Solanum lycopersicum: one gene and its partners. The protein of the gene in region 1 binds, or shares a complex with, the protein of each later gene. Links are inferred from orthologs where the notes say so. Each region holds a gene or a part of one and is shown in the gene's direction. Other genes may lie near its edges.

What was found.
Region 2: mediator of RNA polymerase II transcription subunit 23 (region 1) and mediator of RNA polymerase II transcription subunit 27 share a complex: the UniProt entries of both Arabidopsis thaliana proteins name them as parts of the mediator complex. The link is inferred for Solanum lycopersicum from reciprocal best matches to the Arabidopsis thaliana genes AT1G23230 and AT3G09180.
Region 3: mediator of RNA polymerase II transcription subunit 23 (region 1) and mediator of RNA polymerase II transcription subunit 8 share a complex: the UniProt entries of both Arabidopsis thaliana proteins name them as parts of the mediator complex. The link is inferred for Solanum lycopersicum from reciprocal best matches to the Arabidopsis thaliana genes AT1G23230 and MED8.

The regions. Positions count from the first base shown.
Region 1 is NC_090804.1:17,735,908-17,739,565, reverse strand, and holds part of mediator of RNA polymerase II transcription subunit 23, read left to right. Parts: intron 1-1,898; coding exon 1,899-2,139; intron 2,140-2,233; coding exon 2,234-3,008; intron 3,009-3,658. UniProt on the Arabidopsis thaliana protein: Component of the Mediator complex, a coactivator involved in the regulated transcription of nearly all RNA polymerase II-dependent genes.
Region 2 is NC_090800.1:77,928,946-77,932,703, forward strand, and holds the start of mediator of RNA polymerase II transcription subunit 27, read left to right. Parts: upstream 1-1,252; 5' UTR 1,253-1,563; intron 1,564-3,758. UniProt on the Arabidopsis thaliana protein: Component of the Mediator complex, a coactivator involved in the regulated transcription of nearly all RNA polymerase II-dependent genes.
Region 3 is NC_090802.1:67,512,204-67,515,961, forward strand, and holds the start of mediator of RNA polymerase II transcription subunit 8, read left to right. Parts: upstream 1-980; 5' UTR 981-1,070; coding exon 1,071-1,270; exon of another isoform or gene 1,271-1,392; intron 1,393-1,570; exon of another isoform or gene 1,571-1,644; coding exon of another isoform or gene 1,645-1,700; intron 1,701-2,656; coding exon 2,657-2,781; coding exon of another isoform or gene 2,782-2,806; intron 2,807-3,758. UniProt on the Arabidopsis thaliana protein: Component of the Mediator complex, a coactivator involved in the regulated transcription of nearly all RNA polymerase II-dependent genes.

The DNA.
Region 1 (3,658 bases):
CAGACACATATGGGACACATGAGGACTCTGAATGTCCATATCTTATGTATTCTTCTCCCTTTAGAAATTTGATAAGATGCGGAAAGACTTCTTCAGAAAACTACTTCTCAGGATACACATTCTTCCACTATTTCTAGTTCAATGAGATGAACAAGTGATAAATTTTCTAGTTTTTGTAGTACAGTTTGTTCAGCTCCCTTGAGATTTTTGCAAATGTTTTCCTCTATAGCCACGACAATATCACATACTTTAAGACTATCACTCTTTCAGATATGTTTAGTTGCTGACATCGGAAAACTAGACACATCTTTTATTGAAAAGAGTTTACTTCAAGGATAGCTCAGTTTGAAGTCATCCATAGAATTACAATCCACGTATGATACTGTTTTCTGAGTACAAACTTTATGCACTTCCAAGGTCTTTTATATTTAGCAGGCTAATAGTAGAAGAGTGTGAAGGATTAACAGGGTTAAAATGAGTCCTAAGGAACCCTAGTTTTCAAAATGATTGAAGATACATGAGTGTTTTTGTCATTAATAATTATCTGACTTGTTCTCTCTTACTGGGTCTTTTAAATATATAGTCCAAATGCATAAGGATAAAAGGGTTTAAAGGTAAATTCTCAAGGAACTATCTGATTTTCAAAATTATCACTGTCTTATAAGACGAGTTTGATGCCAAAGCAGGCTTTTACATCTATGCAGTTTGGTCATTTTTAGATGATATAAAATCACATGATTGGCTTAATAACATTTGAGCTGATTCAAAATCATCAAAAAATTCAAAAATAAATCATCAAAACAATTAGTGGTTGTTTGGTAGCTAATTAGAATTATACCGGTATTAGCAATGCATGAATTAGTTACAAGGTAATTTATGTATTTTTTGATGACCAAACAACGAGATAATTTATGTATACTTGCATAAAATAATACTTAGATTCTCTTGTAACTTATACGAGTATTATTTATGCATGTTTCTAAATCGCAAATCAATCACCGTTTTAATTTGATACATGAATAACTTACCTCATAACCAACTACCAAACATGGTATTGGTTATGCAATATTTGATACCTGCATAACTCACTTCCAATTCAGCTACCAAATGAACCCTTATTTATTACACCTAGCAACTTCTTGAGCTCTCCTTCAGGCTTTAACTAATTAACTTTATTTCTTTTTATTGTCTATGATCCATATTATATGGTATTTTTAACTTTTATTTTTACTTCTAATATAAATGTTCTGTTACATAATCAAGAAAACATTATTTTCATTTTTTTGAAATACCCTTAGTTAGATAAGTAAATTTTGACATAATGAAAAAATCATATTAAATGGGTACAGTTTTATCAAGGATAATTTAGAACATATTCATCTTTTTAGGAAAAAGTGAATTTCTTATGCAGTGATCAGTCAAAGCGATTAGAAGATATCTATGATGCTTTAAATTAAAACCATTTGTTTTATTGCTCAAAATTCTCCCATATTTTATCCTAACTAAGCACTAATACATTTGATTATGTTATTTCTTGTTCTTTTTATTATAAATGGCATTTGATTTCTAAAGTTTGACTGCTAATACAGTTCTTAGAGAAGACAAATGTGAATATCACTGTATTTTAAAAATATTAAATACTGCAACAGAAACTACGAAACTTCAGCTTATGGTGATTCGGCCTGTGCAGAGCAATAACTTCCCCTTTTTTAGTAGTCATAGATAAGCAGGTTATCTTTCGTATTAAAATTATCAGATGAGTAAAGAAAGCAGCCAACAGTAGTGGTTATAATTTCTATTCTAGGAAAATAGAATGAACAATTCTAATTGGTGCTAAAACTGTTAAAAAAACCTGTTATTAAAACTCCAACTTATACTTGATTTGCTTGTGGTTTCAGGTATCCAACATTTTTTGATGATATTGCTGCACGCCTGCTTCCAGTCATCCCCCTTATCATATATAGACTCATTGAAAATGACGCTATGGATGCGGCTGATAGAATTCTTCAAGTTTATTCACCCTTCCTTCATTACTATCCTCTGAACTTTACGTTTGTTCGTGATATACTTTCTTATTTCTATGGTCATCTTCCTGGAAAGCTAATACTCCGTATACTGAATATCTTAGATATTAAAAAGGTGATGGTGGTTGATGCTCCGTAACTTGCTAGTTTGTTTTACCTTCTCTTTTAGTAATTATTGAATCATTCTCTTTTTCTTTTCTTCTATGCAGATACCATTTTCAGAGTCATTCCCGCAACATATCAACTCATCAAATGCAGCCATGTGCCCACCATTGGACTACTTCGCTACTCTTTTGTTAGGACTGGTGAATCATGTTATTCCCGCTTTAAATAATAGCTCCAAATGTGCAGTGATGGGAGATTTTGCAAATAATTCTACCCGTGCTCCCCATGGAAAGATCCCAGCAACATCACAATCTGGGACAACTAATTCTTTTGACGGGCAGAAACCTTATTATCAGATGCAAGACCCTGGGATATCCACCCAGCTTACTCTTGAAACAGCTGTCATAGAATTACTTTCTCTTCCTGTTTCACCATCACAGATTGTCTCATCTCTAGTTCAAATTGTTGTTCACATACAACCAACCCTTGTTCAATCCAGCAATGGGCTTCATGGAGCTCCTGGTAGTTCAGGACAAGGCTCTATTTTGCCTACTTCTCCTTCAGGAGGAAGCACTGATTCTTTGGGTGCAACTAGGACGACTCCATCACTTTCAGGATTGAATACTTCTAATTTTGTTTCACGCAGTGGTTATACTTGCCAGCAGCTGTCTTGCTTGTTAATCCAAGCATGTGGTCTTCTTTTGGCACAACTTCCTCCAGAATTTCATGTGCAGCTATATGTTGAAGCTGCACGCATAATAAAAGAAAGTTGGTGGCTTACTGATGCTAAAAGGTCTGTGGGTGAATTAGAATCGGCTGTTAGTTATGCTCTACTAGATCCCACCTGGGCTGCACAGGATAATACCTCAACAGCCATTGGTATGCTTTCTTAACCAATCTGGTATAGCTATACTTGTTTATTTGCCCACTCCCTTTTTTCTCTCTATCGATTGACCTCTATTGATTAGTTTGCTGATCATGAAAATCCAAAAATTCTAGGTGAAAAAAAGTAGGTAAAAATAATGATCTTGGACTCTGAAGTAATGTGTCATACCGGTTTTAGTTCCATATTATTTAACTACTCATATGTAGACTTCAAAAGAACAATACAGACATTTTTACTGCTTGAAGTTAACAGAAACCAGAGGAAAATGTTTCTATTAACAGAATTTTGATTATAAAAATAAAAAAAAGTAAAAGAAAAGGAGTAGCAAAACTTGATGATACGCCACTTTCTCCTCCAACCTTCCCCTTGCTGATTCTCTTCGATCTCCTGTTCATCCTCCTACTGCTTTCACCAGAGAAAACATGTTCAAGTTATTCAAACTAAACATCTGCTTACTAGTAGAATGTTAGGAAACAAAGATAATCATATCCTCTGTCAATTTGTAAATAATCCAGTTTCTGATTTTTCAGTAGAAAATCTATCAAGATTGCCCATGATGCTGGAAGTTGAATGAATAGAAATGTTATGTAGTTGGAAAAATTTAGAGGCAAGCCAATCAGGTTGCTATACTTCTAAAAAGCTT
Region 2 (3,758 bases), on another chromosome or scaffold:
AAGTAACTCAATTATTGAGAAGTGGTCCTTGTCGATATTAACATATTCCACCTCGACTTTCCCTTTATAAGTAATTCCAGTTTTGTCCTGAATAAACTTACCACCATGATGAAAACGAGTTATAATAATGGCGTCCATAAGATTCCCTGAAACAAGGCTCCAAATTTTTCTGACAGTTATGAACAATAAAAACCAAAAAACCCTAACTTTATCTAGATATTAACAACAACAACCACATTGATACTAAAACCCAGTATATATCAATAAAAACCACAGGATAAACACATATATTAAAAACACACAACCACAACAACATGCTCGTCACTTACCTCACACTCGTCAACTCGAAAATCGCGAATGAACTCCAAAATCGTCTGCAATCTTCGATGATTCCTTCAACAAAACACTCGAAATCACTTTAAAATCTAAGAATTTCAGTTGTAAAAGTCATTGAAAAGGAGAGATTCTTAGGGTTTTCTCGTTTAGAAACGGGTTAAAAGTGATTTGGGGGGGAATTGATTTTTAGGTTTGATGACATAATATGTGGCACTGACGTGTAATTGGGTTGGAGTGTATTGGTCAAAATTTCCACGTGGGGAAGGTTCATCTCACGCGCCTAATTACCAAAAATAATTTATTGAAATTTGACTCCACATCAGCCAAAAATATTTAAAAGGATCAAATTATAGGGGGTTAAAGGATTTATAGGAATCTTGGTTAGTTGAGGTACCTGGGGGAAAAGCGCGAACAACTTTAGGGACCTGCGTATGTATTTGGCCTATTTTTTTTCTTCAAAAATCTTGTATGTATTTATTTTAATATATATTTTATTTGTATTTCTATTTATTATAGTTTTTATTTAGAATTTTGTATAATAATATATAAAACACAAAAAAATTAGTATGATGAAAAAGTGAATGAAATAAAAAATTGAAAAGAAATAATTAAATATTTGGTGTACTCATTCTTAAATAAAATACATAACAGTTGACATACCTTTAGAATAAATACAAATTACAAAAAAAAAAGTCAAATTCAGAAACAATGCAATATAATTTTTGAATGAATACAACTATTAATTGTAAAAATTGACTAATATTATTAAAATATGGATATTATCACTAAATAAGTTGATTTTTTTGACTAGTTAGCTAAATTTCCCTTTTTATTTTTGCTAAAAAAAGACTCCAAGGACATGAGTCTCTCACTTGGGCCCAACATTCAAAACCAAATCCGGCCCAAAACCATGACTGACCCGCCCCACACTATTTCTTCAGACCCCCACGCGCCCCTCTTCTCCATTCAGACCTAAATCGCAGCATCCCTAAAAGACGAAGAACCCTAGTTCGGTGCGGCATCTCTTCATACACTACGCCGTGATTGGCACAATTTCTTGTACCGCTCAAAGATTTTAGAAACTCTTCGATGGTATTGTGTTGTAATTTACCAGAAACTGTGCCTCACTGCGAGTCTACGACCAGCGACATTGCCTGACTTTCACGATTTCTATTGACGGCTTTGCAATCTATCAGCATCTCAGTCTTTTCTTCCAAGTTTCAACTGGTAAGTTTTAATTTTCTGAATTTTAGTGCGACGATTTATGAGTTCCATAAAAATATACTGATTTCTGTTCATCTAGCAAAGTGACCTGTATTGTCATGAGACCTGATATGAATATTTTGTTAGATTGTTTCTATGCAGAAGTTGATATGCACCCGCAGTTAATAGATCTTTGGCAAAACTTTCACTTTTCAATGGTGGCAATACACAGTGATATAGGATGACTTTTAGTTTAGGGAGTGTTATCTTAGAATCACATTAGAACTATCAAGTCAAAATTAGCTCCATTAGGCTTTATTTTTTTTGGTTATTTGACAAGTCACAAGAAGGCTAAAAAAGCCTTGAAAGTTCTTGAGCCTTGGTGAAGAATTGTTTAAGCATTTAATAACTCATTTGTTTACTCCTGCTGACATAACAAGTGTCTGAGGAAATTCATTGTCCCCTTCTTGTTGCTTAGAATGAGTAAGCAGGTTACGTGGCCATACACATTTTTTAACTTGAACTGCTAATTGTTCGATAATCTGATAACTGGTGGCCTCTTCCTACTTTGAACAGCTCAGTTTACCCCCAAAAAATAATGCATTGCATGGGAATCAACCTCTTCAGGCTGCATACTCTAGGGATAGACATCAATTGGTCTGATCTCAAAGTGCATTGGAGCAAACACCTCTATACAATTGTATAACCATTTTTGGTTTCTACTTGGATCAGAAAGTTTGATGTATTTTATTTTCTTTAAATGTTGGACACCAAGAAGTCATGCAAACAGCAACCTATTAGTTTGTTTCTCCTTGGTATCCTACAAGTTGTGGCGATTCAAAGTCCCCTACTTTTTCCTTTCATGAGAATGTAGGCTACGATAACCGGACATCTCTATTCAGTTATCTTTACAGAAGCTACTAATCTATGATAAACTAAACTTGTTGCCTCTATTTTGCTCGTTATGTCCTTCATGCGGCTCTGAGAAATTTGATTGCCTTTTATTTTCTTTAAGCGTTGGACACCAAGAAGACATGCAGACAACAACCTATTAGTTTGTTTCTACTTGGTGTCCTACAAGTTGTGGAAATTCAAAGTCCCCTACTTTCTCATTCTCATGAGAATGTAGGCTACGATAACCCTACATCTCTATTCAGCTATCTGTGTGGAAGGTACTTATCTATGATATAGTGAACTTCTTGCCTCTCTTTTGCCTCTTTAAGAGATACAGCCTTCATGTGGTTCAGGGAAGTTTCATTGGCTTTTATTTTCTTTAAACGCCGGACACGAAGAAGACATGGAAACAGCAACATATTAGTTTGTTTCTCCTTGGTATCCTATATGTTGTGGGTATTCTAAGTCCCCTACTTTCTCCTTCTCATGAGAATGTGGGCTACGATAACCCTACATTTTTATACGGTTAACTTTACAGAACCTACTAATCTATGATATTTTAACCTAGCTGCCTTTTCTTTTGCCATCTACCTCAAGAGTTCCTTCATCTGGTTGACGAAATGTCTTTAGTTTGTTTAGGTGTCGGACTCCAAGAAGACTTGCAACGAATAAACTATTAGTTTGTTTCTCCATGGTATTCTACATATTTTGATGATTCATAGTCCCTTAATTGCTAGCTGTCTTTTCTTTTGCCAGTTCCTTCATCTGGTTGACGAAATGTCTTTAGTTTGTTTGAGCGTCGGACACCAAGGAGACTTGCAACAAATAAACTATTAGTTTGTTTCTACATATTTTGATGATTCCTAGTCCCTTACTTTTTATTCGGAAGTTTTAAGCTCTGATCATTTATGCTTTTGGCCTCAACCTGAAAAACCATTACACATTATCTCATCCCTTGCGTTCTATATAGCTAACAATTAGCATTCACTTGTTGGAAAGAGAATGAGGAATTTGCTGATTGGGAGCTGTATTGTTGGAAAGTATGAAGTTTTGATAGACTAAAAGATAGAACCACAGTTGTATTAGATGGGAAGAGCTGTTTCTATAGCAGGAATTTGAGTTATTCTTTTATAGAGTAATTGTGCTGAAAGTCTGTCCATTAGAAAGGCTTGTGCATTTCTTTGTTATGTTGGAAATGATACTGAGTATGTTTTCTATTGTGATTCTTTCTAGTCTTCTGTGAATACTTCTCTCTTTCTACTTTTCTTTGTAGTTGTTTCGTCCTCCCAGAAACTTAGGTTTCTATCTCTTCTAATGCATTTTCC
Region 3 (3,758 bases), on another chromosome or scaffold:
CTCGAGGTTCACCAACGAGCAACAATGAACAACTAACCCACGTTGCTCTTTCATTTTCTCCAATTCTAGCAAATTCTTGAGCTCGAAATCACCAAAAACCAACCACAAAGTCACCAAGGACCCATTTCTCAACCATTTCCAACTAAAACAACCATCAAAAAATGGATCTCGACTTGACCCAAAACCCATTCATTTTTTTTTCTTTTTTTTTTTGGCGAACAGCTGCATAACCCAACCTTTTCAGGCCCACAAAACCCCAAATTCATTTGCTGTATAAAAACACCAGCGAGCCATCAGAACTCACACCACTATCGATACCATTCTTCGGTGAAACACCCATCAACAGTGAGCTCACAGACAGTGGTGAGCCACCACAAAATCTGCTACCTAAGGCCGAAATCTGGCCAAACCGACACCTTTAGGTCTCCATTCGATCCAGCCATGAAATGGCAAAAATCCACCGGAGAAAGCTGCCACATCCACCATTCCTCTTGTCGGTGAGACCATAAACACTTTTCCCTCACACGACTTTGTCTCCTTGTCGCCTCCGTCCGCCGCATAGATCGTCTAAAGAAAATGAAAGAAAAAAAATGGTTGAGCATGGATAGTTATGCATGAAAAAGTAGGTGGGTGGGTGAATAAAAAGGGTTTTTTATTTTTTTTCTTTTTTTAAATTAATTGTTCTATATTTTGATAAATTTTATAATTTTTAATTATAAATATGGTGTTCAGTTGCTTTTACACGCGTGTAATCACTCTCTCTAGCCAATTCAAACATTCAAATGGCACATAAGTTTGGTCAATGGTTAGAGGGTTCATTAAATTATGTTTTATTGAATTCAGGATCTAAATAACAAAAGGATAAGTAGAACGGTTCACAATACAATAACATACAAATATAAGGGTCCACCATACCATTTCACCTTAAATTAAAAATAAAACTAATATTATGGTGTTTAGATGGAAAAAATTATTAGAATTAGTAAAACTTTAGGTATGTACATTTTGAATAATAAAATATAAACATATAAATGCGTAATGAAAATTGCGGTTGAAGAGGGTTGGCGACCATGGAAGGAGTAGTGGCAGCTCAAGATCAGCAACAGCAACAGCCACAGCCGCCCAGGGTGGTGGAGGGTCTGAACCCCGCTGTTCAACAACAACTGAATCTCGAATCCGTTAAAACTCGAGCCGTTAGTTTGTTCAAGGCTATTTCTCGCATCCTCGAAGACTTCGACGCTATCGCTCGCACCAATGCTGTCCCCAAATGGTTCTCTTTCTCTTTAGTTCATTTCTTCTATTTTAACTGTGTAGCAGCAAATACAAATACATTGGAGTAGTTAAGTTGACTAATACTAATATCTACGAGCTGTATTAGCCCCCAAAATGAAGGTGAGTGAGACTAGATGATATTATTCTATCCCGTAGTACTAAGAGTTTAGAGTAGTCTATTTTTTTGTTAATAACCCTCAATTTGTTTTACCAAGCACCTCCTCTGACCTCTCTGATTAGGATACACTATGGTTTTATTGGGTAATTTCGGCTAATACAACTATGCTACCAAATGCAGGAAGTTTACTAGTTTGTCATTTAGGGATAGTTTATTGACAACACCAAAATGCATTTTGTGGGTTCTCCAGCCAAATGAGTTTCCGGTACTGTGTCTTCACAGGCTGGGATACCCCTGCTGAACTTTTAAGGTAGCCATTTTTATTCTTTGTCAATTTAGGCTGCGAGATTTGTTGTCATTAGGTAGGTCAGGATGTTGTGATTCTGTGTATATTTGGAGATGTAATTACTGAATTAAGTATAACAAGTTTGGGAATGCATGCTACAAAATACTACTTCAACTTTGATGCCTCAATAGTGCAGTTAATATCCTTCCATGAGCCTAGACTCACCAGGCAAGATTACCTTTTGGTTAGATGAACATTGCTACATAGGACATCACATTCTCAACCACAAATCATCTTCAGACAATTCCCTGGACACATCTCGGTTAGTAGGAGGTTACACAGTCTCTTCACCAACTTTCTTATACAGTTTGGGCTTGGATCTGCATATCCTTGTCCCCAGGTTTAGAGTAGTAATAAAGATCTGTGTGAAAAGGAGAAGCGCCTTATTGATGCATGTGGATTATCACAGTTGATCTCAATATTCTCATTATCTCCCTTAACAAATGAGAGTAGACCTTCACTCTCTAGCATTTATATATTATTCAACCCCACTTATAATAAAAAATCCAACCTAAGATATACTTGCACATTCGTTTTGTAGAAGGGAATGATATATAAGAAGATCAACTTACACATTTGATATTGATTTCCTTTGGTATCTTATTGTACTGCTGATTTTTTTCTTTTTCATATTATTTTTGTAAAATGAAATCCAAATCTTCAGCGTCATATATAATACCCTTTTCACGCAAAATCTGATCTGCCTCACTCTTTTTTTTCTTTCTATAGACACCATTTAACTTATTTGGATCTCGTTGGGAATTGAGATGAAGTGTTTTACAGTTGATACTTGATGATTATTCTTAAGAGTACTGAAAAAAAATATGGTATATCTTTATGAGGAATATGTAATCAGGAATGGTTTTCCAACTCATTTCTCATATATGTTAACATTTAGTTTTAATAATTCTTTTTGCTAGGCAAGATATTTTGGGGCAATTTTCTATGGTGAATCTTGAGCTTTATAACATTGTTGAAGATATTAAGAAGGTCTCCAAGGCTTTTGTTGTTCACCCCAAGAATGTAAATGCTGAGAATGCTGCAAGTATGGACTTATTCACTCACGCTTGGTAAATTTGTGAAGTTGGACTTCTATTATCCTTTCTTAATTATACATGCTAACCACTGACATTTGTCGTTGCATATAAGCAAGTACATAGGTAGTGTATAGGAAAGTGAATCACCGAGAAGGTTGGTGTCTTAATTCTTCTCTCCTCTCGAATGCTACCTAAGGGTATATACATATTTAGTCTGGCTGTTAAGTTGCTCTTTATCTAACAGTTTCACTTCTTGCTGACTTGCTGAGGTTAGCTTGATATACATGTATGCATAACTAGATAGCACGACAGTCAGTCACTATTGCTAGCAATTCTATTTCCATGTGGTGAAATTGTTTGAGCATAATCAATCAATCAATCAACCACACCCAATATCAAATTAGTTTTTTTTTTTTTTATGAAGTAAGTTGTTTCATTACCGGCATCAAGAAGATGCTAAGAGTACAAAAGTAGATATGCTAGTTCCGTTACATGATAGCAGTTAAGACACGGGAGCCATCCACCAATTCAAAAAATCTAGAGAAGGCTTAAAACATGACTATGTCTGGCCTAGAGTTAAAGAGCTAATAAAATCTAAGAAAGTAGTGTAACTATTCACATAAGACGGGTTGGACCAACAAAAAAGAATGAACAAACATTTAGCTTTGAGTGAGTGATTAAGAGTTGAAATTCCATCAAAACACCGTTGATTCCTTTCTGTCCATAGGCACCAAAAAATACATGCTGGAATCATTCTCCAGGTGTTCCTGATGGCCCCATCAACTATCAAATGGTCCCAACTCACAACAACTTCTCTGATAGTTTGAGGCATCACCCAGTTCAAACTGAATAGGGAAAGGAACACATGCCATATGCCTGCATCCACCGCACAACGCAAGAAAAGATGATTTACTGATTCTGCACTTTCCTGAATTTCTTTTCCAAATTTCTGATAAGGTTAATGAAAGAAATAAGCATGTATTTT